Nothobranchius furzeri: one gene and its partners. The main gene of each other region encodes a partner of the protein of the gene in region 6 in a complex. Links are inferred from orthologs where the notes say so. Each region holds a gene or a part of one and is shown on either strand. Other genes may lie near its edges. The genes, in order: cript, rbm48, snrpf, cwc15, srrm1, bud13 and gpkow.

What was found.
Region 1: bud13 (region 6) and cript share a complex: the UniProt entries of both Homo sapiens proteins name them as parts of the minor spliceosome. The link is inferred for Nothobranchius furzeri from reciprocal best matches to the Homo sapiens genes BUD13 and CRIPT.
Region 2: bud13 (region 6) and rbm48 share a complex: the UniProt entries of both Homo sapiens proteins name them as parts of the minor spliceosome. The link is inferred for Nothobranchius furzeri from reciprocal best matches to the Homo sapiens genes BUD13 and RBM48.
Region 3: bud13 (region 6) and snrpf share a complex: the UniProt entries of both Homo sapiens proteins name them as parts of the minor spliceosome. The link is inferred for Nothobranchius furzeri from reciprocal best matches to the Homo sapiens genes BUD13 and SNRPF.
Region 4: bud13 (region 6) and cwc15 share a complex: the UniProt entries of both Homo sapiens proteins name them as parts of the minor spliceosome. The link is inferred for Nothobranchius furzeri from reciprocal best matches to the Homo sapiens genes BUD13 and CWC15.
Region 5: bud13 (region 6) and srrm1 share a complex: the UniProt entries of both Homo sapiens proteins name them as parts of the minor spliceosome. The link is inferred for Nothobranchius furzeri from reciprocal best matches to the Homo sapiens genes BUD13 and SRRM1.
Region 7: bud13 (region 6) and gpkow share a complex: the UniProt entries of both Homo sapiens proteins name them as parts of the minor spliceosome. The link is inferred for Nothobranchius furzeri from reciprocal best matches to the Homo sapiens genes BUD13 and GPKOW.

Annotation. Positions count from the first base shown.
Region 1 is NC_091756.1:43,772,589-43,776,680, reverse strand, and holds the start of cript (cysteine-rich PDZ-binding protein), read left to right. Parts: upstream 1-1,292; 5' UTR 1,293-1,433; coding exon 1,434-1,449; intron 1,450-1,607; coding exon 1,608-1,673; intron 1,674-1,956; coding exon 1,957-2,011; intron 2,012-2,797; coding exon 2,798-2,901; intron 2,902-4,092. Other genes in the region: pigf (phosphatidylinositol-glycan biosynthesis class F protein), read right to left, coding at 625-852. UniProt on the Homo sapiens protein: As a component of the minor spliceosome, involved in the splicing of U12-type introns in pre-mRNAs. Involved in the cytoskeletal anchoring of DLG4 in excitatory synapses.
Region 2 is NC_091759.1:22,195,918-22,200,010, forward strand, and holds rbm48 (RNA-binding protein 48), read left to right. Parts: upstream 1-1,292; 5' UTR 1,293-1,307; coding exon 1,308-1,436; intron 1,437-1,587; coding exon 1,588-1,778; intron 1,779-1,849; coding exon 1,850-1,995; intron 1,996-2,079; coding exon 2,080-2,609; intron 2,610-2,704; coding exon 2,705-2,767; 3' UTR 2,768-3,690; downstream 3,691-4,093. Other genes in the region: peroxisomal ATPase PEX1, read right to left, coding at 763-870. UniProt on the Homo sapiens protein: As a component of the minor spliceosome, involved in the splicing of U12-type introns in pre-mRNAs.
Region 3 is NC_091741.1:34,923,123-34,927,104, forward strand, and holds the start of snrpf (small nuclear ribonucleoprotein F), read right to left. Parts: upstream 2,810-3,982; 5' UTR 2,673-2,809; coding exon 2,670-2,672; intron 1,547-2,669; coding exon 1,421-1,546; intron 1-1,420. UniProt on the Homo sapiens protein: Plays a role in pre-mRNA splicing as a core component of the spliceosomal U1, U2, U4 and U5 small nuclear ribonucleoproteins (snRNPs), the building blocks of the spliceosome.
Region 4 is NC_091750.1:48,553,425-48,557,200, reverse strand, and holds cwc15 (protein CWC15 homolog), read right to left. Parts: upstream 2,445-3,776; 5' UTR 2,294-2,444; intron 2,209-2,293; exon of another isoform or gene 2,066-2,208; intron 1,964-2,065; 5' UTR 1,948-1,963; coding exon 1,817-1,947; intron 1,734-1,816; coding exon 1,621-1,733; intron 1,517-1,620; coding exon 1,416-1,516; intron 1,345-1,415; coding exon 1,234-1,344; intron 1,137-1,233; coding exon 988-1,136; intron 877-987; coding exon 747-876; 3' UTR 510-746; downstream 1-509. UniProt on the Homo sapiens protein: Involved in pre-mRNA splicing as component of the spliceosome. Component of the PRP19-CDC5L complex that forms an integral part of the spliceosome and is required for activating pre-mRNA splicing.
Region 5 is NC_091758.1:35,720,294-35,723,810, reverse strand, and holds the end of srrm1 (serine/arginine repetitive matrix protein 1), read left to right. Parts: intron 1-56; coding exon 57-137; intron 138-493; coding exon 494-580; intron 581-687; coding exon 688-823; intron 824-928; coding exon 929-1,012; intron 1,013-1,110; coding exon 1,111-1,584; intron 1,585-1,667; coding exon 1,668-1,860; intron 1,861-1,946; coding exon 1,947-2,123; intron 2,124-2,234; coding exon of another isoform or gene 2,235-2,240; exon of another isoform or gene 2,241-2,256; coding exon 2,257-2,367; 3' UTR 2,368-3,047; downstream 3,048-3,517. UniProt on the Homo sapiens protein: Part of pre- and post-splicing multiprotein mRNP complexes. As a component of the minor spliceosome, involved in the splicing of U12-type introns in pre-mRNAs. Involved in numerous pre-mRNA processing events.
Region 6 is NC_091750.1:44,767,944-44,771,917, reverse strand, and holds the start of bud13 (BUD13 homolog), read left to right. Parts: upstream 1-1,168; 5' UTR 1,169-1,212; coding exon 1,213-1,352; intron 1,353-1,476; coding exon 1,477-1,567; intron 1,568-2,079; coding exon 2,080-2,164; intron 2,165-2,232; coding exon 2,233-2,469; intron 2,470-3,974. UniProt on the Homo sapiens protein: Involved in pre-mRNA splicing as component of the activated spliceosome. As a component of the minor spliceosome, involved in the splicing of U12-type introns in pre-mRNAs.
Region 7 is NC_091755.1:41,971,924-41,976,177, reverse strand, and holds the start of gpkow (G-patch domain and KOW motifs-containing protein), read left to right. Parts: upstream 1-1,439; 5' UTR 1,440-1,650; coding exon 1,651-1,946; intron 1,947-2,103; coding exon 2,104-2,264; intron 2,265-2,493; coding exon 2,494-2,639; intron 2,640-4,254. Other genes in the region: membrane-associated guanylate kinase, WW and PDZ domain-containing protein 3, read right to left, coding at 425-507. UniProt on the Homo sapiens protein: RNA-binding protein involved in pre-mRNA splicing. As a component of the minor spliceosome, involved in the splicing of U12-type introns in pre-mRNAs.

The DNA of each region.
Region 1 (4,092 bases), on a different chromosome or scaffold from region 6:
TAGGTGGGAGAGTGTATGTTTGAATGGTTGTTTGTCCTTCTATATGACTGGAGACCTGTCCAGAATGTCCCCTAGCTCTCATCTGATGATGATTAGCGCTAAAGATGAGCCGTTTAGATCATGGATGAACCGAATTAAAATGAAATGAAACTCGGATGGTTTTGTTAGCTCTCTTCCCTTCATAAAGGACATAATCCTTTGAAAACTGCATTTAGTTTAGTTTACTCAAGTTCTCTTTGCCTGATGTTGAAATTTGTTTGATCTGAACCATTTAAGTGGGACAAAAAATTAAACAAATAATATATGAAATGTGTTAAGAGACAATTACTTTTTTCACACCTAAATAAAATAGATCATAACAAGAAACGCTTACAATTTCTACTTTTTCATCACCTCACCTTACAATATCCAAAACTTACCTTCATTTTCACACATCTATTAAATTTAATTAAAAAGCAAGTTGACTGATGTCCATTTCCCTGTCCAAATAATAATAATATTAATAATAACAAACGAATACATTTTGTAAAATTCATAAGATACCTTCACATATCACATAATACATTTATATGTCGAACATAATCAACAATTCACTTTAAAAACATTATCTAGTTGTTTTGGCACCTTGTATCCCAGTGTGTGCTTTTTGGTGGGCGGTGAGATGCCGAGCAGCCAGAAGATAGCGACGCTGACACAGGTCACCGTACCGGACACCGCGTAGACCCACAGCAGGTGAGTCCCATACACTGAGAAGCCCGGGACAAACACCGCGGGGATGACCGTGGCCATGAACACCGAGGCGGTGATAATCGCGTGAGTAGACGCCATAGCTTTAATTTCATGGTCCCACATGATGAAGACGTGAACTATTTACAACAAGAACCCGATAACGATGCGGGGAAGTCAAATAAAACACCTAAAAAACGTAAGGTAACATTGGGAAACTGTCAGGTCTATGTATTTCTTTTCCGCGTTTCCGTAAACACGAAGACGTAAGAACGTCCGCTTAATTTCACAGTAAAAGTCTACTGCGCACAGACATCTTAGGTGAATGATGAAAAAACATCCGTTTCGAAACATATTATCATAGATTATCGGGTCAGTTTATTTCAATTTCAAGTGAAAAAGGTGTATGTTTTACTTGTTACTCAATCTCTGCTAATGAATACGCTTGGGTTAAATAAGGTAAAAGTGCTTGACTTTATCAAACATTTATTTTGAAGAACCTATAAGCAAATAAACGGGAAGTAGTAAGTTATAGTTCGCGTTGCGTAACTCAATTGTTTTAACCAATCACAGAAGATGTTACTCGTTAAAGCAACCAATGAAACCTGTCATTTGAAATGCCTCAGCTGACCGGACGTTTACATTAGCAAAGCAAGCTAAAGCTAACAAACGATCATTTCTACTGCGTCATTCGACACACCGCAAAGATGGTCTGTGAAAAGTGTATGTATGTCATTTGCTTCTGATTTTCAGACGTATTGTTCATTTTAAAATCTGATGAACGTTACTTTTGTCAGCGAAAGTCTCAAATGCAAACTAGAAGGCCAATAGTTTAGTTCTTATTGTATTTTCCTCCATAATTGTTTTGTTTTATATTTTAGGCGAGAAGAAACTGGGAAAAGTAATTACCCCCGACACTTGGAAGGACGGAGCACGGAATACAACAGGTGACCCGAGGAATGCGTAGTGAAATGTTTTTTTGCCATCAGTATGATAAATTGCTGTTTGTTAATTATTCTAGATATGAGACTTGTTGTCTTGTTTACAAGTTACTTTTGAAAATGTAATCATTGTTTCTATATTTTTTCACGTTACTAGCAGGTTTAGTCCTCATTTGGTTGATCACGCCATAATATAAATTAATTGGTGTTTATTTTTTTTATATTAGTATAGGTATAGTAACATTTAGATGTCCGTGTTTAACAAGTTTGTCTTCTTTCTTTGTGTCAGAGAGTGGAGGACGTAAGCTAAATGAGAACAAGATTTTGACATCCAAAAAAGCCAGGTGAGTAAAAACAATTTATAGAAAAAAATAAACTTTAATTACAACAATCTAATGAATGTAAATACAAATATGAGAAGTCAGAGAAAATATTCTAAACGCATTAATATACTTATCTTAAAATTACCTTCTTGAAATTGAACCAAAAACTGTTATTTTACTAAAGTTCAACCTTATCATATAAAACTTTCTCACCACCATATTTGCTTGGGCATACATTTTGCTGCATTGGCACAAATCACCACATGAATCATCATTAATCATCTGTCCTTAGTATTTTACTTTATGAACCACGTTTAAATCCTGATCTTCTTCATTTCTTGCAATCATAACAGTTGATTTTTACATCATAGCTGGAACACACTCTTAAGTAACTGTTGCAAACCTGCTCTGAAGAGTAAAAGACCATCAAATCTTCAGCAGTCATGAGATGATTGGTCATTATTTCCCCATTCATCCACTCTTATGCTCTCTTAGTTAAATAAAACTTAGATCGTCCATATACAAGTTAAAGGGAATAGGTGACAATATCTGGTGAACCTTATTAGTAACAGAAAAGGAGTAGCTCTCATTTGGTTTTTAGTCTGATTGTAAGATTTGTATAGAATATGAGGTGACACCTTGTTCTTAAATCTTCCTAAAAAGCCCATCATAATGAACTCTTATCTGAACTATTCCTCAGAAGAAGTCACACAACGGTTTAGCTACTGTTTTTCAATGTTGTATATTACTAATTCAAAGTGGTCAGCTGATATAACTGGTCATGTGTGTAACAATTATTTTCATCAGGTTTGACCCTTACAGCAAGACTGGCTTCGCAATCTGCAGGATCTGCAAAAGCTCAGTTCATCAGGCTGGATCTCACTACTGCCAGGGCTGCGCTTACAAGAAAGGTATGAAGTGATTGTGCTGAAGATTTAGTTTTGTGTCACAAAAACGCTACAGCATTTCTATTAGCCCTTTTACATAAAACACACACACACATGCTCTCTATTCAACACCCTGCTGAGTTTTTCACATGTAATCATGTCACCAACAACATTATCCTTTTCCTCTGAGACAAATCCATCTGCATCCTATAGGAAAACGTGACAGTAACTGGGACGAGTTGTGAAACTGCAATGTTTGTCTGTTGTTGAACAATTCAACTTGTGACTTTTCTGCTCAGATGTTTTCATTTTTCAGTGTGTCTTAGTGTCAGAATCCGGAGAAAATTACAGCCTCACATCAACAGAGACTGTACTTGCATAATCTAGAGCCATTCTCGATAGGTTTGTTTGAATACAGTGTGTTTGTACTGTATTTAGGCTGAATGATGAAATGTAAACAGGGCTTTATCTAAAAAGGCATATCTTGATGAACATTGAAGCAAACTGTCTTAGTTGCAGGAAATGAAAGAGTGGAGTGGCCATGTTTCAGATGGTTCATCAAACATGGAAGATGCTCAGTGAAACAAATCATCTTTATAGTTTGCTGAAGTTTTCTTTTTTATTATAATGATTTCAAGGCCTACGTGTCCCATTGAACCTGCTGCCTTTGGTATGTCTTCATGATGATGCCTAGGTAGACTCACAATTAGGAATAGGGCTGCACGATATTAGAAAAACCTGCGATATTCGATAACAGTGTTTAATATTGCGATATCGATATTACTCACGATAAATGAACAAATACTAAAGTATGCAGTGTTGATGTCGTCTGGCGTGTGACGTCTGCTCTGGGTTCAAAGCAAACAAAACTAATGCATGAATTCCATTACAACATAACATTTTTATTGCAAAAATATGCAGCTGCACCTGCTACTGTATTAGTAGCAAAACAATAAACTGCATGCATGCAGTTTCTCAGTGACTTTAAAACATCACCTCCACCATAAAACTTTTTCTGATGCTCCAAATGCAGAAAAACATCCCTTACCAGGGTTTTTGAATAAATAAAAAAATATCAGAAAATAAGTTTAAATGTTAAATAATAGTTAACATCACTTAAATGGAACAGCAAATTCTCTCATTGCTACTGAGCATTTTCTCCACTTATGTGGTTATGATATAAGGCTGTTGCTGCTATTGGGAAGTGAACTGTGC
Region 2 (4,093 bases), on a different chromosome or scaffold from region 6:
CAAGGAGAGGGTGGTGAAGGTCCCACCAAAGCCTGAACAGGTGACTTTTCAGCTGCTTTTTAAAGGAGACCACTGAGTCCACTGATCTCAGGCTCAGGGGGAGAGAGGTCCACAGTCTGGGGGCCACACCAGCAAATGATCTGTCACCTTTGACCTTTAGCCTGGTGCTGCACAACCAGTTGGCTTTGATCACTGGACCTCAGGGACCTGCTGGGGGTGTAGGGACTAAGAAGATCACCAATGTAAGATGGTGCTTGTCCATGTAAGGCTCTATAGACCAGAACCAGGATCTTGAAATGAACCCTGAAGTTGACTGGCAGCCAGTGAAGCTGGAGGAGAAGCGGGGTGATGTGGGTGCGTTTGGAGGACTTGGTCAGAAGCCGAGCACAGGCGTTCTGAACCACCTGTAGACGGTTCAGGGAGGTTCTGCTCAGACACGTGAAAAGAGAGTTACAGTAGTCTAAGTGTGTCTCTCTAAGTCTCTAATGCAGTAAAATAAGGCAAACATAGATGTCAAGGAAGCAATTCACCTGAAAATCCTAAAAACCAGCAGCTGTCGTTGATTAGGTAACTGTTTGCTTTGCATGTTTATAAAATCTCAAACAAAAGTACTTTCATCTGAGCATAAGACAACCCGGCTAGTCGTTTAAAAACTGTCATCTGTTTATGCTAGCACAGACATTATACATTAAAACTAAGTCTTAACGTACAGAAATGATCTAAAAAGCAGTAAATCAACATGAAATTAGTTAGCTAACCTACCTCGTTCAAGGAAAGATGCGCTACCAACTTGGAAGGGAGGTGAAGAAAGCAGTTTTTTGTGTTGTTAAAAACGACACGAACGGCTTGAATTCCCTGGTTGCTAAACATAATTTTCGCATTGCTAGCTAGCTTAGCATACACCAGGCAGAGAGAGCAATTGGATTTATCGATGTGCTCTGTGGACGATGGACTCCTCACCAGGCAAAAGTAGTTGATCTTTTGCTTTCAAAATAAAAGAGTATTCTAACAGGCAGCGCGACGGTATTCACTGAACTGTAAGCATTTATTTTGAAAGTGTTAAACCGGAAGCGCAGACGCATTCACTGAACTAAAAGCGTTTATTTTGAAAGTGTTAAACCGGAAGTGCAGACGCATTCACTGAACTAAAAGCATTTATTTTGAAAGTGTTAAACCGGAAGCGCAGACGCATTCACTGAACTAAAAGCGTTTATTTTGAAAGTGTTAAACCGGAAGTGCAGACGCATTCACTGAACTAAAAGCATTTATTTTGAAAGTGTTAAACCGGAACAGCATTTAGAATAAGCATGGCGGTCCCTGTAAACAACAGCTCCGGTTGTTGGAAAGTTCCTGACGTTCACAAACATCACGAACAGCAGAAAGTTTGCATTTCTCGACCAAAGTATCGAGAAGGAAGAAGAGCTAAAGCGGTTAAGGTGAGACAATCTTAGAAGTTATTAATTTCAGCTAAAATGTTCATAAATTCTGTAAAGAAGACACACAAGATTTGCTTTAGCTTAATTGGTAACATCATTCTAATACTGCACTGAACGCAGGAAATGTAACTTTAGTCTTGTGAATTTCCAGGTGTACACCATTAACCTAGAGTCCCGTTTCCTGATGGTACTGGGAGTCCCAGCTATCGGTGTGATGACGGAGCTGGTCCAGCTGTGTGCCCTGTATGGTGTTGTGGAGGAGTACAGACCTCTGGACGAGTATCCGGCTGAGGAGTTTACAGAAGTCTACCTCATCAAGTTCCAGAAGCTAACCAGCGCCAGGTACGATTTATTCGCTCCTCATACTTTACTGGAAATACCTGCTTAATCGTTATCGAATGTTTCTGTTTCAGAGCAGCCAAACGCAACATGGATGAGAAAAGCTTCTACGGCGGTGTGCTGCATGTGTGTTACGTCCCAGAGTATGAGACTGTAGAAGACACCAGGCTAAAGCTACAGGACCGGAGGGGTTATGTTATGAGAGCAGCTCGGAGCAGAGGTATCGTTTAACATCATGTTTGATTTAGTTCTGACCTTTAAATGTTGCTTTTCAATGCTTTAAAACAAATCTTCTCTTACAAAGCAAAAGCGGCGCACAGCGAAGGCTCCGCATCATCGACGACTGCATCAGACATAAACGTCAGACACGATCAAACCTCTAAAAAAGAATGTGCAGAGGATGCTTCAAACCACAGCCAACATGCAGAATTCCCTCCTCTCCCATTACCTCCATGGGAGCAGCATCCCTTTGGACATAACAGTCCACATGGGATCAGCGCACAGGAGGACAAAATGGGAACTTTACATGATGCCATCATAAACTTGAAACAGCCCCAAGTGGAAAAGTTAAGCGTTAACCAAGCCTCAGAGAGAGACCACGACACAGAACACAGACTGACCTCAGATCAGGCTTCAGCATTCAGGTTTCTCCCAAGGTCCTCGCACTTGGAGATCAGGAAACGCAGAATGGAAGAGGCTCCCGAGCAGTCGGCAAGTGTTTCTGGAGGAACCGAGACCCTGATTGGACCGAAATTACCAGAACCACCTAAACTGGACATGAATGATGACTCGTTGAACACAACTGCCAGCCTGATCAGGAACACAATGAAACAGGTCATTGTTGATTCAGTACTTTAATAATTTCATAAAAAGTAAATCAGCCTTAATGAAGGATTAAAACATGTGAATCTTTTTTTTTTTTTTTTCAGGTGGGATCTGCTCCGGGTTTCAAAGCTGTTGAGAAAAAGACAAAACCACGTCGTCGGATATGATCTGGACAGGTGTCTAGATGGGAGTCTTGGAAGAAAACCGACGCTCCCACTGCTTCGGAAAACTGTTTATCTCATCGGCTGTTGTATGCTATGATACCAACCTGTATAAAAAAGGTTAAAAAAAACAGCTATTATGTAAAGAGTGCACAAATTTACATTTAGAAAGCTAAAGAAATACTAATACTGTGTTTCCTATGTGCATGTTGCCGTGGCGCGCCACTACGGAAAAATAAAAGCTGCCACACCTTCAGAAGTAAACAAAAAAAAAACTTCAAACAACGTACCTTCAGAAACATTTTTTTTGGATATACATTAAAACAATAACGAGACATATATAGTCTATATTTGTGCATGTGTACTAACCATAGTCACAGTTTAAAATAAATTTTATTGCAACAAAACTTTAAACTGCAGTTCAAAAAGATCTACCGACCGCTAAATTAGCGAGGGCGCACCGGTGTGGTGAAGTCACCTGAGGACAAAACAGGTGATGCGCTTCGCTCCGCAGCAGCAAAACGCATCGGGCACAAATAAAAGACAGGAAGCATAAAAAGGACACGAGTCGACATAAACAATCGTGTGTTATACGTGGAGACACTGAGAATGTTACTGTCGCCATGCTCAGGACACCGCTCTGGTGCGCGCCAACCATCAGGAGGTGAGCGAAGGAGAGACAAGTGGAGAGGCAGAACAAGGACCAGCATGCATAAGTGAGCATGATGAGGGAGAGAGCAGCAGGGAAGCGGTAAGAGGGAAGAAAAAAGTCAGCACAGAGAATCTGGCTGGGACCCAAAATGGACAGAAATCAAGTTCCGCCCATGGCTGTAATCAAGGTGGGAATCAAGCAATACAAATTATTTCAAGGTAAATATATTTTTACATTTTTTTTATTTAATTGTAATTAAACAATAAGCTGATTTACACACCTGCGATGGACTGGCTCTCTGTTCAGGGTGGCACCAGCCCCCAACCCCCCACCCCCGCGACCCTACATGGACAAAGCGGGTTCAGACAATGGATGGATGGATGTTTTACACACACCTGCAGGAATGTTCATCGAAAAGCATACTGCTCGTGTCTCAGAGCGACCGTCTCCGCACGTCTCTCCACCACGGTTTATCAAAATCGTAGAGGAAACCCTGAGCATGTTATTTTATCTCACACTGTCAATATTTTAACTGCTAAAACTTTCTGCATATTAGGAAAATCTTGAAATCCTTCACATGGGTGCAAATTTACCACCAAACAAATAAAATGGTCACAAAAACATTAGAACAGTACTAATTAAAGAAAAATAACAGCCCAAAATAGACTTTTACAAAAACA
Region 3 (3,982 bases), on a different chromosome or scaffold from region 6:
GTCTGTTGTCCCTCGGGGTTGCTGCAGGAGGACGCGGGTATTTATGAGAGGAAAACGAAAGTAAATAAATGTTTTGTGATCAGTATAATTCGACAAAACCACGGCAAACATGCTTTCTCGACAATCCTTGTTATTGTGTGAGAAAATAAAGTGTAGAAATTAAAACGGACGTGTGTTAATAGGGAAACAGCTGGCGAGCCATGATTGCGCATGCGCCGTGAGCGGTTCTGGTTCTGTTTGGGCCGCAGCCACTCGCAGCGCTACTTCAACAGTTATCCTAGTTTTTGTCTGGCTTGCAGGCTCGTAGATTCTCACACCGGGGGAAATTAGCTCAGGTTGTTTACTTATTTTTTGCACAGGCATTTGTTTACTGTGAAGTAAAGTTGAAGTGCTGAAGTTTTGCAAACTGATTTTGAATAAAACTTGAAGAATAACTGGCAATAGCGTACTCATTTTAAGAGGTCTTTCATATTTTATAACATGCTATTTGATATAATGGTTTACAAACACAAAAGGGTCATTTATTAGAGTACTCGATTAATCGATAAAAGATTTGATAGAGTACTCGATTAATCGATAAAAGATTTGATAGAGTACTCGATTACAAAAATATTCGATAGCTGCAGGCCTAATTCCTGCATCTATATTCTTTCCAGTGGAGGTTTATGGATTAGACTTTTAAAAAGCTGTTAGAACTTCATCAACTGCTGTTGAACTGATTTGCATTTCGCTGACAACTGGGTGCATATCCTAGATATTGTTCCCAAATATACATGCAAACATTTGAAAACACACCCTGCTTTGGGAACATTTGTATTTTACTGCTGCTGAAGGATAAATAGGCTGCTTTGTTAATATTAATAAGTAAAATTATAATTACATGAAGTTTCCTTAGACATTTTGGAGCCATGACTTTATTCACTTCAGTCTCTTTAGCAAAAATTCCCTCAAACTGATCAAACAACGCCCCCTGCTGGACACGAAGATAAACACCTTTCAGCAGTCTGACTATGATCTGAAGTTGAACTGATTAAAGAACATCAGTGAGCCCTGGTTCTGCATGTTTTAGTTCCTTACCTGCTCCAACACACCTGATTCAATAGCTTAATTCTTCTGAAGCAGCTCATTATTCGCCTAATGACTCAAATCAGGTGTGTTGAAGCAAAGAAACATAGAAAACAAGCAGGATGATGGGTCTAAAGAGCTGAATTTTCCTGGGGTACAAATTTAATTTTATCATTTATTTTGATTTGGCTTAACCAAATTTATGATAATAAAGAAGTCTGACACAGATAAAACCACACAATAAAATCATCAAGCAGTAGCAAATCCTGAGCAGGTATACAAATAATTAAATGGTTTATTTTTCCATGTGAGAAGATTCTGTGGTTTGGTTGTTAGGAGGAGAAACGGCACCCACCTGCATGTTCATGTATCCATCCACAGACACCAAGTAGCCTTTATACTCCATACCCCACTTCAGCTTCACCATCACAGGTTTTCCCGTCAGGCCGTTCAGGAAAGGCTTCGGGTTCAGAGGTAAACTCTGTAGAAGAAGAACAGAGGTCAGCAAAGCCATTACATCCCACACTACTGAAGAAAATTAAATGCATTTAACGACTACATTTCATGAATTTGTAACGCTGCTGAACAGCAGCGTACCCCCAGCCGTCCGTCCTACAACACAGATACTCCTCACTCCAACATGAAGGAAATCCGGATTCAATTAAACGTTTTTGCGTAGAATCCAAACTTTAAATCTACTGCAAAGTAAATCATTTTTATTGACTTTACTAATGAATTACTTAATGGCCAAACAGCTGTTTAACCAATCTAATTTTATTCATAAAAAACGTTTAATGAATCAGCGCAACTGATCTGTGTAATAAAACAAGCTGTTAAATCCTAATAGTGTTATTTTTCTTTAAATTGCATTATTTTGTTCAATCACTATTAAATTTTAATATGTTCTCCCATAACACAAAGGTTAATCCGGGTCAGGTGGTTTAATAAAAAGGTTTAAATGCTTTACTGCTGTTTTATTTACCTGCAGCGTCAGCCTGACGAAGTTTGCAGCCGCAAACGAAACGTTGCAGGCAAATAAAACCTTTCTGTGTTTTAAAAATAACTAAAAGATGGAATTAGAATTTCAACACAGCAAGCACACACCAAAGATGCTCTTAGCTCATTCTGAGTCGCTTGTTTTAAACCGATCATCTCTCTTAAGGCTAGCTACAGGACACCGTGGACTTAAAGGCCTGAGGAGTTAGCTCACATTATAAAGATTAAATAGCTAAAGGTCGAGAGACATATTATTAATATATATTCATTTCCTTATGGAAGCTTTTGATAAACGATCTTAGCGAAATAGTTTGGACTTTATTTTGCCAGGAAGCGAGGGGATGCTAGCGGTTGATGTAGCCTCTGCGGTCTTTTCTCTTGTTTATTAACAGTGATGAACGAGTAGACGGCTTACAACCCAAAGGGAATAAGAAACCGAAGATTTATAACACCAGTTTTGTGTTAATATGTGTTTGAGGGTGTGAAAGGTCTAGGTCGAAGTTATGAATGAAAAGCTAACATGGCTAACGCTAAACAACAAAAATACACTGAATTAAATCCTGATAGTTCATTCGCAAGACGATAAAGATATACAACGTCTTACTCACCATTTTATATCAAATTAAACAGCTTTAATAAGCTAAATCAAAAAAGTAAAATATGTTCGTCTCGATAACGTTTGCAAACCACGAAGCACGCTTTACCGCCGACCGGAAGTACAACTTTCCGACCTGGGCACGAGTCTCCGTGCTTTAAACAGCGCCTCCCAGTGGCCGGATGAGCGAACTGCTACCCAAGTGATTTAGTGTAAAGCTCCAAAAGTTTCCCCTCTTCCTCTCATTTACAGTCACCCATTGAACAGTAAACTGTGAGCTGATAAACGAAACGTGAATTAAACACCTACAATATGTATGCACGATCTCTGGGGTTGATATGTCAGTTGTTTATAGAGTATCTGCTATATGTTCGTGGCACGATACAGAAATAAAGTCCAGTCCAAAAAGTTGTATCTCCTCTACATTCACAAAAGAAAATGGCAAAAAAAATCAGTTATTAAGTCCAGGAAAAACTAGTAATAATTTTCTTCAAACTCGTTTTCATTCTCAGCAACAAGATCATGTCATCTGCCTTGAGTTGAACTCCTGCTCTATTTATGTCATGCAGGATCAGTGACTGATTGAAAACATATCGGTTTAGGAGCTAAACCTGGCACGACTGTCATAACTGGGTCATGCTTGCTCTCTGCAGCTTTGTTTTTCTCCAGGCACAAGAAGCCCGATGTTTAAAAAATGTTTTCTGCTCTGAAGCGTTTGTCTGTTACCAAAAAGTCAGGCAAGTTCAAACCTGCCATGGTGAATAAAACCGAAATCTGACTTCATTCAGCAAATGGCTGGGTTTTGTCAGAAAAATTCCTATGAAATTGCTCTGGATCTCTCTCTGCATGTTTGAAATACTTGTTTCTTTACATCACTGAGTATTTTCCCGACCTCACCTTTCCAACGTGTAATTAACCCGTCCATCAGACAGTCTGGTCTCAGTTATGGGATGGAGACGGTACGCGAGGTTTAGAGAAGTGGCCAGTCAGAGGGTGCATGAGTTGTATGAGAACTACTGTTGGCATGAGGCGTAATAAAATCTGTTACAGACAGACAGACCGACTGAACCGATAAAGAAAGCATAATATATTTTTCATGTGTTTAAAAACGTATTTAGAGCTGCAAAATGATGAAGAGACACAAATAAATTTGCAGTGTTGCAAAAACTGTAGTCACAAGAAAGTAACTCGTGCAAAGCAACCAAAAACAAAAGGGAAATTATTTATTAATTAAATATGATTTTAAAATAGCAAAATTAGTCTTACGAGGCTATAAAATAAAAAAGATGACATTTTCACCAAATGGTCACAAAGATTAGAAGTTAT
Region 4 (3,776 bases), about 3.8 Mb from region 6:
AGGAGTGATTCATCACTAAATGAAACAAATCAGCTGTGTTCATGATCTAAACCATGCAGGAAACTTGCTGGAACTAGACTGCAGCGCCAGGTATGTCAGCTCAAGTTCTTCTAAGTTCAACAGATCAGACCAGCAACTGTGAAGCTGCAAGTGGGATATTTTGGCCACAGGGGGCGATAGGGGCTGGGTGGCATTTCATTAACACTGTGAAGGGTTATTTTAGCACATACTGGCTCAAGAAAATTATCTAAAAATATGAACAAGTTACAAAGTATCTTTTAACCCTCGCCACATCCTTGAACTTTTGCAAAACCCATTACCTTTTGCACAAAAAAAGCACTAGGGAGTGGAGGGTTAAATGAAAAGCAACACTCTTCATACCCATTTCTGTGCTGATTTTAGGCACCCCACCCCTAGCATTTTTTATAAAACTTAACTTTTTAAGTTAATTTACCCTTTAAAATTAAAAAATGCACAATCTGTTATTTCTGTGAAATTATGCAAAGTAATTCAAGGGAAAAAAGTCAATGTTTATTCAAATAATGAAAAATGCATGACAGAAATACTGAAATCACATTCTGAAATGTGCTTCAAACTTTCATGATTTACGCAAACAGCAACTGACCTGCAGACAGTACGGTTTCCAATTAGTTAGACTGTAAATAAATGCCAGCTGCAATTAAAATGCTTGAAACTAAAACATTTTCAATTAAAAAAGATCAAATGAAACACACACACAAAGTCCTCTACTTTACATATTTCTCCATAAATTTCTTGTGGAACTCAGAGCGCAGCGTGTCGTTGACAAAACGTTTCTCTTTCCGCGCCTCATCCACTCCTTTGGCGCAGTTTTTGAACACTACGTCATCATCCCACCTAGAAGTACATCAGAATTATTAGTGGTGGTGAAGGAATATATTTGTTTTTCCAAATGCAAACAAACAAAAAACCAACATTCTTGCTGTAACAAGTGAACATAAGAAATACCTTCTCTTGACTCTGAATGTGTTCTGAGTTTGGCTCTGTTGCTGTTGTTGCTGCTGCTGCTGTTGCTGTCCTGCTAAATTTATCAATGGATTTCCACTCAAAATATTTTCCATTCGAATCCTCTCTTCCTCTGCCTTCTGCTCTCTTTCCTAAATAACAAAAGAAAAGCACACGGAGGTTAAGCCATCCTCTATAACATCACTTTTCATTTATAGCCAAAGCAAACACAAACTTAAAACTCTTTACTTTGCGTTCTTGCTCTTCAGCTCGCTCTTTCTTAATTTTTTCAAGTTCAGCCAGCAGGGCTGCAGTGTCGTCATCATCACTTTCTTCATCTGAGTTCTCGTCTTCGTCATCCTGTAATGTAAAAATGGATTAATAACTTTATCCAGTGTAAGTCTGGGATGTATTGCAATGTAAATCCTTACATCAGTGAGAGGGTCATCGGCATCAAGGTTGGCTGCTGGGATCTGATCCAGTCTGGGCCTTTTTGAAGATGATGATGATGAAGAAGATGATGTGGTGTGCTCTGAAGAAATAAAATCAACACAATACAGATTAAAGGAACTATGCCAGAAACCGTTGCATACATCCTTTTTGGATCTAATCTTTATTATGAGTAGAAAAATCCACCTCTTGGTCCCCTCTCTCTGGTCTTCTCACGAGCAGCTACACGCTCCCTCTCCTCCAGCTCTCGGCGAAAATCACGGGCACGCACTTCCTCAGGGGCATCCTGGGTAGGCTGCCTTTTAATTGAGATGAAAGAAACACAGTTTAAGTAGTTCGAATAAATATTTAAGGTTGAGAAACTGGAACCCACTGTTCTGACCTGTATTTGATCTTGGTGTGACCTGGAAGATCCCGACTGGAATACTGCTTAGAAAGAGCACTCAAATCCCCTTCTCCTTTTCCTCTACCCCCTCTCGCCGGCTCAAATGTTGGTCTTGCAGCTGTAGTCATCTTTGATGGCCGTGCTCTGGCAAAACGTAAAGCAGAAAATAACTGACCAATTCATAAATTACAATAAGTAATTTTAGATATACATCATAATAAGTCTAATGTTAATATGAGTTAAAACCTTTAACGATCAGTTTCCTCCTAAATGTTGTTTAAAACACAAGTTAGCTTGATAGCTTCCACCGCTAATCAGTTGCTAACAGGCTAACGTGGGTGACAATGCAATTTAAGGAACATTTCCTATTTTTAAAACCCAATGCAAGATAATTACGAGAGTAAACATGTTTGAAACACAAAGCTTAAAATAAACAACACAATTTAAATACGTTTTTAAAGCAACAACACTTACGAAGCTGCTTCCAAAAGTGAAAAGGAAACGTTCCTGTACACAACGGTGCGTCACTTCCGGAACTAGACGCGTTCAGGAACAATCGGAGAAAAATCGTGCATATTTTGACCGGCATGACAGGACTCCAAGAACCTATTTTACTTGTATTGTTTACGAGGTCGGCTGCGCAGTGGTTAGAGCTGTTGCCTTGGGTTCACTTCCCAGCCTGAGATCTTTCTGCATGGAGTTTGCATGTTCTCCCTGTGCATGCGTGGGTTCTCTCCGGGTACTCCGGCTTCCTCCCACAGTCCTTAGGTGTGTGTGTGTGTGTGTGTGTGTGTGTGTGTGTGTGTGCGTGTGTGTGTGTGTGTGTGTGTGTGTGTGCGTGCATGATTGTTTGTCCTGTGTGTCTCTGTGTTGCCCTGCGATGGACTGGCTTTCTGTCCAGGGTATATCCCGCCTGATTGCCCATTGACCGCTGGAGATAGGCACCAGCCCACCGCAACCCTACGTGGACAAAGCGGGTTCAGACAATGGATGGATGGATGGATGTTTACAAGGTCAATAAAATGTAGTGTTCAAATTAAGAAAACCACAAATCTTGTTTACTACAGTATGATAATTACAGACCAATCTTAGTGCTTCCCCAGTTTTCTAAAGTCCCTGTTGCCCTTTTCAAGCTGGATCTAACCTCCATCTGTCTGCAGATTCCTGCACCCGACTCCTGTTGAAGATCTCAGCTACATTTATGCTGCTCCCTTGTTTTCTCCATTAATTTATTGTTTAAAACCGACCGTAGTCTGTGAACTGATTCTGTAAGTCGTGGGTTAGACACTTACCTCACAACATGACACCATAGTGACTGGTATAATTACGCAATCCTTCGATGAAAGAAGGTCACAGTTTAGTCTTGTATGCGATCATGGTTCAGGTTTGCATTTCATTATTTTCTGACCTCCTGCTATGACATTTTTTTTACCTGAAGCTCATAAATATTCCTGAAAAGTTGAATAAACAGAAATCTTCAGTGCAATGCACCGATATGAAACTTTGGGGCTGATACCAATATCTGATATATCGCTGTTATGGCCGATAACCGATGTTTGCCAATACCGATATACTGACATTAATGCTTCTAAGATCAACAGATTTGTAAAGATTAAAGCTGAATTGACGTTATGTACACACACCACACATGTTTACACTGTTAGATGATTGCAATCACTGTCACATGACTAAACAATTACACATCACCTCCCTCACCCTCTGAAACAGATAAACAAATGAAAACAAGATGGAAAAATTATCAGTTAATATTGGCCCAGTTTAATGTATCGGACCAATACCGATATTAATGCCAATATATTGTGCATCCCTATTTTGAACCCTAACCTACTGACAAAGTTTGTTTGAAAGTTGTCCTCATTCAGATAAATACAAAGATGAAGAGATAAAGTGAAAATATTGCTGACTTCCCTTACCTTTACATATCTGACCTCATAAC
Region 5 (3,517 bases), on a different chromosome or scaffold from region 6:
CTTTAAATTAACTTGGTTACAATAAATGCATCTAAAACTGAATGTTTTGGTTTTAGGTTTAAAGCAAAAACAAAGAAGAATGGATGATTCTCCACCTGCTAATGCAAAAGCACGAGCTTCTGATGGGTCTGACTCTGGTAAGTCAAATCCTCGGCCTAATGAAGCTCAGATCGTACTTCGTTTATACAGCAAGTCTCCATAAAATAGGTGCCATCACCCGAGGGTCATTACTGATCCAGATTAGCTAATCGCTTAGACTAAATTATTCCAGGTGTTTTTTAAAATGTTTTCCTCTTCCACAAAAATAACAGCTTAAAGTCCTGCTCAACGATTTTTTTAAGAATGCTTCCTTTTGTAAACTTTCCTTCCGTTACATTTAAACACAGCATAACGGGTCTTATTGGTAAGACAGAAGCATTGGTTGTCACTTTTACATGATGCTTTTGTAGAGTGGTACGAACACTGATCAGACAACCGATGCTTTGCTTTTCAGAGGAGGACAAAAATGAAAAAGGGGCAACAGCCGACTCGGTGCAGCAGAGACGTCAGTATCGCAGGCAGAATCAGCAATCTTCTTCAGGTCTGTGTCCAGCCTCGTTCGTCCTAACCCTAGATTTTGGTGTTTTTCCTTTACTGCATACAGTAAAAGGCCATTAAAAAGTTTTTATTTGTTTCATGTGGTTTCAGATTCAGGATCTTCATCATCAGAGGATGAGGGACCTAAGAGGTCAGCTACAGGGCCAGGAGCCAGAAACGGTGAAGTGAGGAGGAGGCGTAGCCGCACACCATCACCTCGTAGGCGGCATCGGGACGCCTCCCCAAGGTCAGACGCTTATCTCCTCAGTATCTGGATGATCTGACGTCTGTTAAGGTTTTATGTTTCCATTTGTTCTTGAACAAATGTTTTTATTTGTTATTATTCCTTCAGAAGAAGACGTTCTCCATCTCCTGGACGTAGACGTCGCTCTCCATCTCCCCCACGCCGCCGCAGATCTCCCTCTCCTAGACGCAGGCTAGTAACAATGATCTTTTTATATGGATTTACTGGGTAGGATTAAAAAAACTTTCATTAGTATTGATTTTCAACAATTTTTCTTTTTTTCTTTCCAGGTCTCCTTCACCGCCACCACGTCGTAGATCTATGTCCCCCAGACGTTACTCTCCTCCCATCCAGCGCCGCTACAGCCCCTCACCTTTGCCTCCAGCAAAGAGGAAGTTGTCTAGCTCACCCCTGAGACGCTCCTCTCCAGGTTCCAAGCGACGTTTCTCTAGGTCTCCTAAACGCAGAAGCTCTCCTGGTCCTAGACGGCGCTCTCCTCCTTCGTCCACATCTCCACCCCGTCACAAAAGGAGCCCCATGCCAGCCAGGCCAGGCAGGGACACACGATCCCCTGTTGCGTCTGCCAGACGCCTGTCCCCCTCACCTGCAAACCGCAGTCGGGCTGTCAGACGATCCACGAGTCCCCAGGGACGCTTTGCTTCTTCTAGTACATCTCCATCTAACCAGAGGCGACAGCCGTCCCCTTCACGCAGCAGCAAGCTCATTCGCAGGGTGTCCCGCACTCCAGAACCACACAGGAAGAGGTAAACGAGATGCAAGGAATGGTTCGACGCAATCCGTAAGTCTTTTGAAAGTTTTCTTTACACAACTTTTATTGCTTTAACAGAACTTCACCAAGTCCTAAGCAAATGAGGAGAGCATCATCCAGATCGAGGTCAGTCTCCCCCCTGCCAGCTCCGCAGAAAGGTCCAGCTCCTGCTTCCGCCTCCCCATCTCCTTCTCGCTCAGTCAGTGGGTCTCCCCCACCTCCTCCAGTCAAAAAACCCAGTAGTGCTTCAGGCAGCCCGTCTCCAAGCAAGGTTCGAATTTACTCTTAAATATGACACAACATTCTTTTTTGAAAACAAACAGTTTAAAAGTGTTTTTAAATAATGTTTGTTTTCAGATATCAGATGTTGAAGGTGGCGGAAAGAAAAAGAAGAAGAAGAAGGAAAAGAAACACAAGAAGGAGAAGAAACACAAAAAACACAAGAAACACAAGAAGGAGAAAAGCAGCGGGGGTGCTGTTCCGGGAGACGTAGCGGAGAATCGCGGTGCGGAGGAGGATGGAGAATCAAGAAAGGTAACGTTTGTTCTGTTGTTTTAGTTCATCTCTTCATCGTTTCGGTGGGACCACATGTTAAACACCAACATCGAATCCGTGTGTATTCAGGCAGCTAAACTTTAGTTAAAGGTCTGACATTCTTTTTATTCAGGACTCAGACAGTGACGCCGACGACGGCTTGGACGATCTGGAAAAACATCTTCGAGAGAAGGCCCTGCGCTCGATGAGGAAGGCCCAGATGTCTCCATCACAAATGTCATGAGAACAAGAAAGTTCTGAGTTTTCCTATTTTGATGTTTCTCATCAACTTGGTTCAGCTTTAGAATGTACAAATTGTCGATTCTTGTTTTTTTTTTTAATTGGTTTGGTACATTCTGGAGAGTTTTTCCTTCACTTGATTTGTGGGATAGATTATTATCTAAACTGTAAAGAAACTTGTGTTAATATTTTGAATTTGTTAAGCAAGAAGAACGTTACATTTCAGAGGTTTGAGTAGGGCAGGTTAATGGTATATTTGTCTGTGTACAGTAGATTCCATAGAGAAATGATAGCACGTGCATTGTCTCCGATGTGCATGAACCATTGACTGGTGAGAACGCCATCAAGTAATCTGCTGTTACTAACGCCTTTTACTAGTGGAAACCAAGTCACTACTGTGAGTCCGTCAAGGCTGTAACAAAACGTCCGGTTTTAGAGATGGGCATCATTTAACCTGCTTTTTTCTCCAACTTTGAAATTGTCTTGTTTGAAGATTAAATCTATCTTAAGGATGAAACATGTTTTAATTTTTTTCTAAACTGATTGATATGCAATTTTTGTTAAAAACCCCTGTATTGAGCTAATTTCTGTGGGACTGCTATAGTGTATGGTTTGTATTTAGTAACCTGGTTCCTGTCACGTCATCCTTTCAGAATTAAAACTTTTTTAGGATCCGTGTTTAAATTTTGTATTCATGTGGTTGTTTGTCTACCAATGGTGAATTGGTTAGCATGCAGTTGCTGATATTTTCACGTGAAGGTGCTTGATGATCATAGAATTCCAGAAACTCCGTAAACAGCTTGTGGGTTCACCTCTTCCGCGTTTGCCGGCGCATGGCCCAGCTGCAAGACACGAAGGGAGTGTGAGGCGTCTCTATGAAAAACAAATACATATATAGTTTAAGAACAACAAATGTATTATTTTGATCATTCTGAACTAATTTTCATGCTGGGGTTGTGACAGGCGCTAGTCCGCTATGAGCTGTATGCGAACTCCGACAAGTCTACGCCGGTGTTTAAATGGTGCGAACCTTTTAAAAGTACGAGTCACTAGATTAGACCCGAGGGTAAATTAGACATTGATGTGTCTACGGGGTAAAGTTAAAAGTCCCGGATTCTCATATTAGGCGTCTTTAAATGTCTGAAGTTGTTTCA
Region 6 (3,974 bases):
TGATAATCTGGGTTATGAGTCTGAGAGCTTTGACATTCAATCACTTTTATATAAAAGTGATTTGAACTGCACAATTCTTAATGGCTTAAAACTAAAGTACATTAAACTTATTGGGGGTAAAATTGGACCATTTTGCTGTTTTTATTTAAGTGTGTAAAACAGATCTAAACAAATGTTTCTACAGAGCAGCTGCTACATGAGGTTGTGATTGAGCCACCATACACCACGAGATAAAGTTACAGTCATTAATGAGGTAGCAAATAAATAATGAATACAAAAAGGTGCAACAAGGAGGCAACAAAAACTTGTTAAAATATGATAAGAACAAATAAAAAAGATGCAAAACATCAAAGTACATTGTGTGTGTGTGTGTGTGTGTGTGTGTGCGCGCGCGCGTGCGTGCGTGTGTGTGTGTGTGTGTGTCAGAGAGAGAGAGATAGACAGATCCAGGGCCTAAATAAATCATTATGATGACATCACTGAGTTCCTCAAGCTAAAGATCTTAAATCATCACTACTTTTGAGTTACTGCTGGGAACAATAACGTGTTCAGTGTCTATCGAGTAGAGTCAGTTTCTAAATGGAGCTAAAGCATGTCTCCTACAGCACTGACAGAATGGTGATGGTGATAACAAATGTCGTCTTTGTTTCTGCAAATAGAATTAAAGTAAACATTAATTCTTCTTTTTTTTCATTATAAAAAATCTAATATTGTTTTACTGTGCCATCCTTATTTTATCACACAAAATTGAATTGTATTTGTTTTAATCATTTGTATTTCCAAACAAGAATCAAATGACCACTTGTTTTTTTTTATTATTATTTGTATTATTTTTTTTAATTACTGATTTGGTTCCCTGATGAAAGACTCCTATTATCAAAATTAACACTTGTTAATGTGATGCTTTTGTGTCCAAAATGAGGGAAAAAATGTCTGTTTGTCAGTGTTAATTATTCGTTTTATTTTTCTATTTGTTTTATTTTATTTATTAGCAAAAATTAGATGGAAAATCAAGCCATAGCTCATCCATTTTTACATCAAAAAGATAAGCGGCTTGTTTAGCAATTGAGTATTTTCAGTTTTACAACAAAAGCCAGATTATGACTCTTGTGGTATTTTTTAAAAAGAAAAATATATACCATAACAAGGATGGTGGAGCGGTTTACCCCTTTTGATCCTCCGCGCTATCCGTAGTTTCGGACAACAGTCAACATGGCTGCCTCCAATGGCGTCAGTAAAGGAGCTGAGCTTTCTAAAGCTGAGTACCTCAAACGTTATCTGTCAGCCAGCGAAGATGCTAGTAAATCAAAAGGAAAGATAAAAAAGAAACGACGCAAAGTTCCTGAAAAAGGGTGAGTTTGTGAGAGAGTTCTATAAAGTTTCTTTTCACTTGTATGCTAGCTGTTTCGCTAGTCACTGTGTCAGTTATCGCTTTTTTGTTACTTGGTGACATTTATTATTTTCCTTTTATTTCAGACTTAAAATAGTAGATGATGATATAGACTGGAGACAGATGGTCACAGAACCGAAGGAGATTGAAGAGGAGGAAGAAGAAGAAGCTCCTGTGGTAAACAGCTAGCTAACGTTAGCTTTTTCGAAAGACCTTAATTCGATTCAAACGCTTTTAAAGCAAATCTCTCCCTTCAGTAATCTCTGGCAATATTAAGACAGGCGTTCAGTTTTAGACTCCATACATTGGGTTGAGTTTATGAAAGTGTATTCACAAGTTTTTAGACACTAAAACTTGATCCCAAGTGGGTCAAAATACTTAGAATGTTTTTGTGCCATTTTAATAATTTTTGTTTAAAAAGATCAAGAGGAAGATATTTTGCACTATAAACAGGGCTAAACAAGTGCAAAATTATAGTTTTTTTTCTTGCAACAAATAATAATTTAATTTGTGGAAAAAAAATCTTTTTGCGTAATCTGTCCATATAATCCAGGAGGGAAAAAAAGCTGAATTCTGACATAAACAGAGACAAAAAAACACAAACTTTTATTTATTAGAAGGTTCTAATGAGTGATGTTTCCTCAAATGTTATGGAAATGCAATATGGATAAATTTGTGTGCCCACTAAGATTGCTGAATTCATTGACGAGCGACCAGAGGAGGTGAAACAGATGGAAGTCTTCAGGACCAGCAACAGATGGAAAATAGTTGGAGGTAAACGTGAAACACAAACAAAATCTGTTCCTTTGTTTAAGAAAATCATCATCTAGTCTTCCCTGTAGCTGATGAGAACGAGGAAGATGAAACAACGGGGGAACGTGTAGAGTCTTTGGAATCTAGCAAAATTCACCAAGACTCACCGGAGAGGTCATCAAAAGACATGAGACACAATTCTCCCATCAGAAAAGCAAGACATGACTCTCCGGACACATCTCCTCCAAGGAGAGGTCGCCACGACTCTCCAGACTTGTCACCTTCAAGAGGGCATTCAGGGAAATCAGGAAAGGGCCGATATAAAGGTGAGTGATAAACGTTTTTTTCTGTGTCTCTCATGGACAGGCATTTGTTTTAGCATCCTGTTCTCCACCACTGATTGAAGCATATTCAGGGTTTTTCCTGCATTCAAATTCGGCCGCCCCAGCCTGATTTCACTCTGCCCCCAGCTATATGGGTGTTATTTTAACTGCAGTTGCAGCGTTACGCCCCTACAGGGGCGCTGTATCAGCAGCGGCGCACCGAAAAGCACTAAAACCACTGCAGACAAAGAAGATCAAAAACTGCTTTTCTCGCTAGTTACATATCTATGGTTGGTGTTATTGACATCCTGATTTTCCCCCAGGCTCTTCCATATCAGAGCAGAGCTGTACAGTGTGACGAAAAGAACTGTCTGTGCGTGTCTGTCTATGTTTAAACGTAGCACTGGTGCAACATCTTTGAATTACTATTTTCCCCAGAACTTTATTGAACAAAGTTAGTTGCGTGTAAGAAAAATGCTTTTTACCGGCGCAGTGTGGTCATCTGGATGCAGTGGAGGAAAATACAGGAACCAGCAAAGGCAGAACCGGTCCAAAGTTTGGGATCAAAAGTGCAGCTACACGCAGATTGGCTAATGCTAAAGCTAACGGTTAGCAGTCTCACGATCAAGTGGTGCACAGAAAAATATATGATGGTAAAACTAAGAAAGACTAAAATCTACAAGCGGATGAAAAGTCCCCACCATCCTGTTTATTCTGCATCCTGCAGCGCTATGGATCAGAACCGCTGCAGATACGAGTCACATTACTGCCACAATGCTGCAGTCGCCATGGTAACTCTGTCTCCCTATCCCACCCTGGGTGGGACTGCGACCGGTGAAGGCCATTGAATCGTTTCCAGGAGTCACTGTGCCCTCTAACCCACATACCTCCTTCCCCTGTCCAAACGGAGGTGACGAGCGCTGCTTATCGCGGCTGCATGCACTGATGTGTGGAGAGTCCCAGACCCTACCACCCCACCTAGTGGACACTTATGTTGTGTAATGTCTGAAGTCTGTTGCATTTCTGTCTGAGGTGTTTTTTTGCATAGCAAAGCTGCCCTCCCTGTCTCTGAAGTGCCTTTTTTCCCTCCACCTGACCCAATCCTTATGTAAACCCTCCGGGTCGCGAATGACCACAGTCACCAATTCTTGTCATGTGTCTATGCCTATGTATGTATGTCTGATCTCAGAATTGTGTGTACTGAAACTCTAATTTCCCTCTGGGATTAATAAAGTATCTTTGAATTGAATGGAACGGCTATGGCAAGCCGTTGTAGTATATAATTAACAGACGCTTCTATCTTTCAACATAATTTGAACTGGATTATTGCCAACCCGTACATAATAGACATGCCACCATTACATTTTTAGCAGCCAAAATTAAATGTTATTACCATTTCTGATACAAATGCATATTAATGAAATGCATTATATAATTATATAAGTATCTCGGGGTCTTGTTCACGAGTGAGGGTAGGAGGGATCGGGAGATCGACAGGCGGATTGGTT
Region 7 (4,254 bases), on a different chromosome or scaffold from region 6:
TGACTGCAACCAGATCCGGAGCATTTCCGTCAGGGTCAGGAATCCATCACTTCCAAAACAAGCTGCCCAAACGAGCTGGGACACACCCAAAACAAACACTCTCACACATACAGAGGGCTGCAGGGCACTTGTGCACGCTCCTGTATGCACATGCATGCACACACACCTGGCTGTGAACCACAGAGTATTTGAATCAGTCTATTATTCATGGCAAAGGGGGTGCAGGTGCACTGAGCACGAGCTTCTGTTTAGTTTTCATTAAGGCAATTTGTGAGGAAGGCGATTGAAACCGATAAAGAAAATAGAAAAGCTATCAAGAAACTCTCAAAACACACACACACACACACACACACACACACACACACACACACACACACACACGAAGCAGATTCTCAGATTTCTCATATTTAGACTGAATACTGACCTGCCTTGCCGCTGACACACACACATTCTCTTCAAGCAGTTCAGCCTTTCAAAGAGGATCCGTTTGAACGCGTCTATATACATTGACCCTGCCGAGGTTAAAAAAGGAGCAGCACTTTAATAAATAACGCGACCTGTTTGGTTTGGAGCAACAGCAGGAGCTGGAGGAGGAGCGAGGAAGAGTCTGGAGTCTGGAGGAGATGAGATGAAAGGCGATCAGCCGGAGCCAGCGGAGAAAGTCAGAGCCGATGCGCACGGCTGACGGGATGTTTGGACACTAGTGATGCTCTGGGAGCTGAGGAGAGCGAGAGAGCGGGGAGAGCAGGAGAGAGAGAGAGAGAGAGGAAAATAAAACACACACACACACACACACACACTATCGGGCAGATTTGACGGCGGTCGCAGATAATTTCAGCAGCTGCTACATTGCTGCGAGCAAAAAGGAGAAAGGAGGAAAAAACAAGAAGGCGTGGATGGTTGTGACCCAAACGGGAGGTTTTAACTTGTGCAAAGAGAACAGTGCGTTTCTTACCCCCATGTTCACTCTCTGCGCCTCATCGTTTATCCATCATGCATACAGAAAAAGCCCGAATTACCCCCCAAAAAATCATACAAATGTCGGGTTCAGCAAATAAAGGTGTCGCTGAACTTCAGAGGTTGCGCAAAAGCAGGTGCGGAAATAGTAATAAGGTTGCGCTCATGCTGCTGACATGCAAATGCGGAGAAAAAAACAGCAACATTAGGCTACATGGCTAATGAAAAGGTTAACCTCACAAGTTCAGGCGCTCAGGAGGCACTGGGAGGAGGAGTTAAAAGCCCCGCCCACATTCTGCCTAAAACACACCTGCATCAGCAGCACCAGAGTCCGCTTCACTATCTGCGATTTAAAGGAGTCAGACCCACGCATTAATCCAACTCATTCAGCTCTTGTTTCTTTTTATTACAGGAGACTAAAAAGCTCCAGATAAACTATAGGGGTTTACAAGATGACCGCTTCAACGGAGCGATGTTTCAGCTTTTCAAAAATAGACCTGCAAGTCTAGACATGTTCACAATGAAAGTGTTAAACATCAGTACCTTTCTATTTTAAATCAAGTGTCAGTGTAATTACCGTCTGTTTAACTACTTTAAATGATTTGATATATTATTTAGTTACTAATAACCAACGGATTTCACAAATAAATCAGTAAATCTCGGATTGCCTGCGACCTTTAAAGAACTCTTATTATGAGGCATGATGGGATCTGTAGTCAATTGCAGCCTAGAGTGGTTATCGGGCTCGTTAACGCAACCCCATCTCCCAGAATGCACTGCGCCCTCATCGTTCTTCTTCCACAAACAATCATGGCGTCGCACGGAGACGGTTCAGGTGCCGCCGAGAACCAAGGAGATAAAAAGGCAGCGGCGGTATCGTTTGGTTTCACAAAAACTGTCAGCAAATTTAAACCCGCAGCCGGCGGCATTCCAGCCAAGACCGACGAGAAGGATTACCTGACTGGAATCGACCGAAATGAGTTACAGAGGTAGGCTAACCGCTAGCTAGAGGCTAAAGCTGTCAGTGGTTTGTAAACGGAGTGGTGACGTTTGAACTCTAAATCTGACTGACCACACTTTTACGTGGTGTGTGTAATGTATCTACCCGGGACACTTTAAAGATTTAACTTTTGTCTTCCGTGGCAGTTCAAAGCCAACCGAGAAGCCCAAAGAGCTCATCATCCCATTGATCCAGAAGAACCGCTGGCACAAACCGGACCGAGCGGACCCGAGTGGAGGCTCAGCGCGCGGCTCGGTCCAAGACAAAGACTCGGTGGAGTCTCAAGCTGTCAAAGAACTCATTGAAGGTTTGTGGTTGAAAAAGATGCAGAAGTTGGACAATGAATGGTTGCGTGTCAAAATGTGTACCCCCTCGCAAACGGAGCCCATCCTGGAAGTGTCTTCCTGCTAGACTGTAAAACAATTAAGAGCACGAGCTCCATGGCCGGTTTGTGTGTGTATTAGACAGTTTTTACTTTCCTACCCAACACTAAGAAAACCATCTTTATCAGTGACGTTGTGTGTTTCTGCTTGTAGATTCACGGAGGCAGCTGGAGCAATGGCAGAATGCAGCAGAGTCGAACAGAAGCCTGGACCTCTCCATCCCTCTGTTGATGCAGAACAAAGTCCCTGAGGGTTTTGAGGATGGAGACCATGTAAAGGTGGACCTGCGGCCTGAATCTGTAAGTGGGGACAGAACGGGCTGTAAGAGACTTAGGAGTATGCAAAGTTTACCAGACGAATGAGAAAAGATAGAAAAATTAATTATTCACAATTTTGTTGTTAGAGCAGCTTAAGTCAAGCCATCTGTTATAGTCAGTAATGCAACAAACCAGAACCTTTAGATTTATAAAACAAATGGAATAAACCTTTAAAAGGTTTAGTAAAGTACAGCAAAATTATTCTTTATCTTAATGATTAATTTAAAGCACGTGTACATGCTACTGCAGCAATCTGACACCCGGATCTACCAATATCCATCAAAAGTAGAGATGTAAGAAAATATCGATATGGCAATATATCGTGATATTTTTCCCAGCAACATTATATCGATATTCAAAAGCCGTGTATCGGAAATATCGATGTGGCAATATATCGTGATATTTTTTCCTGCGATTATTACATCGATATTCAAAAGCCGTGTATCTAATTCCTGAAAGAATTTACATGCAAACATTTGTGTATTTTCGTTTTGCGCAATTCAATCAGCACCCGCTAGTTGGCAGCAGTGTGCAGCGGGTTTTGTTTCCACCACTGAAATGTAAATCCCTCCATCATGGTTCAGATACCTCATGTTAAACATGTTACGTATCAGTTTGGACTGTTTATTGAACATTCTTACAATAAATTCAGTTAAAAAATTGCTTGTAACGTCTGACTGAATGTATCGCAATATATCGTGAAATATCGTATCGTCTCCCCTGTATCGTGATATGTATCGTATCACAAGAATTTCAAAAATACACATTCCTAATCAAAAGGCATGCTTACATCATCTTCGTCAGCTTGTTAAAGGATTGTACCACCTCACAGACGTTTGGTTGTGATGTTAGCAGCAAACCATGAAAAGTAAAGTTCGACCGATAATGGTTTTTCTGTTGCCGATACCGACGTGTAAAGGTTACGGACAGCTGATGGACGATTAGTGTTGCCAATGTTCTGTGCCGATTTTCATGTCTAGATGTTTTCCGCCCTATTTTCATGCTAATATGTCACAGGTAACACCAGTAAATGCACAAAATTTCAGAAGCTGAATCGGTTTTTGAACACTAAATTTAACTGTTAAATTTTAATCTTGTGCACTGCTCAGTGTTAAAACCAGACGTCTCACTAAAGTTAATCAAACAAATCAGGATACTGACCGAGTATTAAATGCTCAAAACTGGTAAACAAACTCTTATTTTTGGTGGAAATAATTTTTAGAGCATTAATTAAAGCAGATGCTATTCAGGAACATAAAAATACAATTAAATCCTGCAGCAGTGCCGGGCTGCCTGGGGATGTGCCTGACTTAAAACCGGCTAGGTTGTGTAATTGACAGTGAAAACTGTAAAAACCACGTTAAATCCAGAAAAAGCTGACAGGTTGAAGAAATCAGCAGTGACAATTTCATCAGTAACAAACGAATCTTTAAACTTCACTTCCTGACGGACGTGAAGGAAGGCCGTCGGTCTGAGCTCGTTATCTGTCTGAGGATGCTACGGGAAGGTTGTGATAGAATCTTCTGGACAGGTGCCTCAGTGAGGGCACGAAAACACCTGACAGTACAAAACGTCTGCTACTGGAGAATGGCTGCTG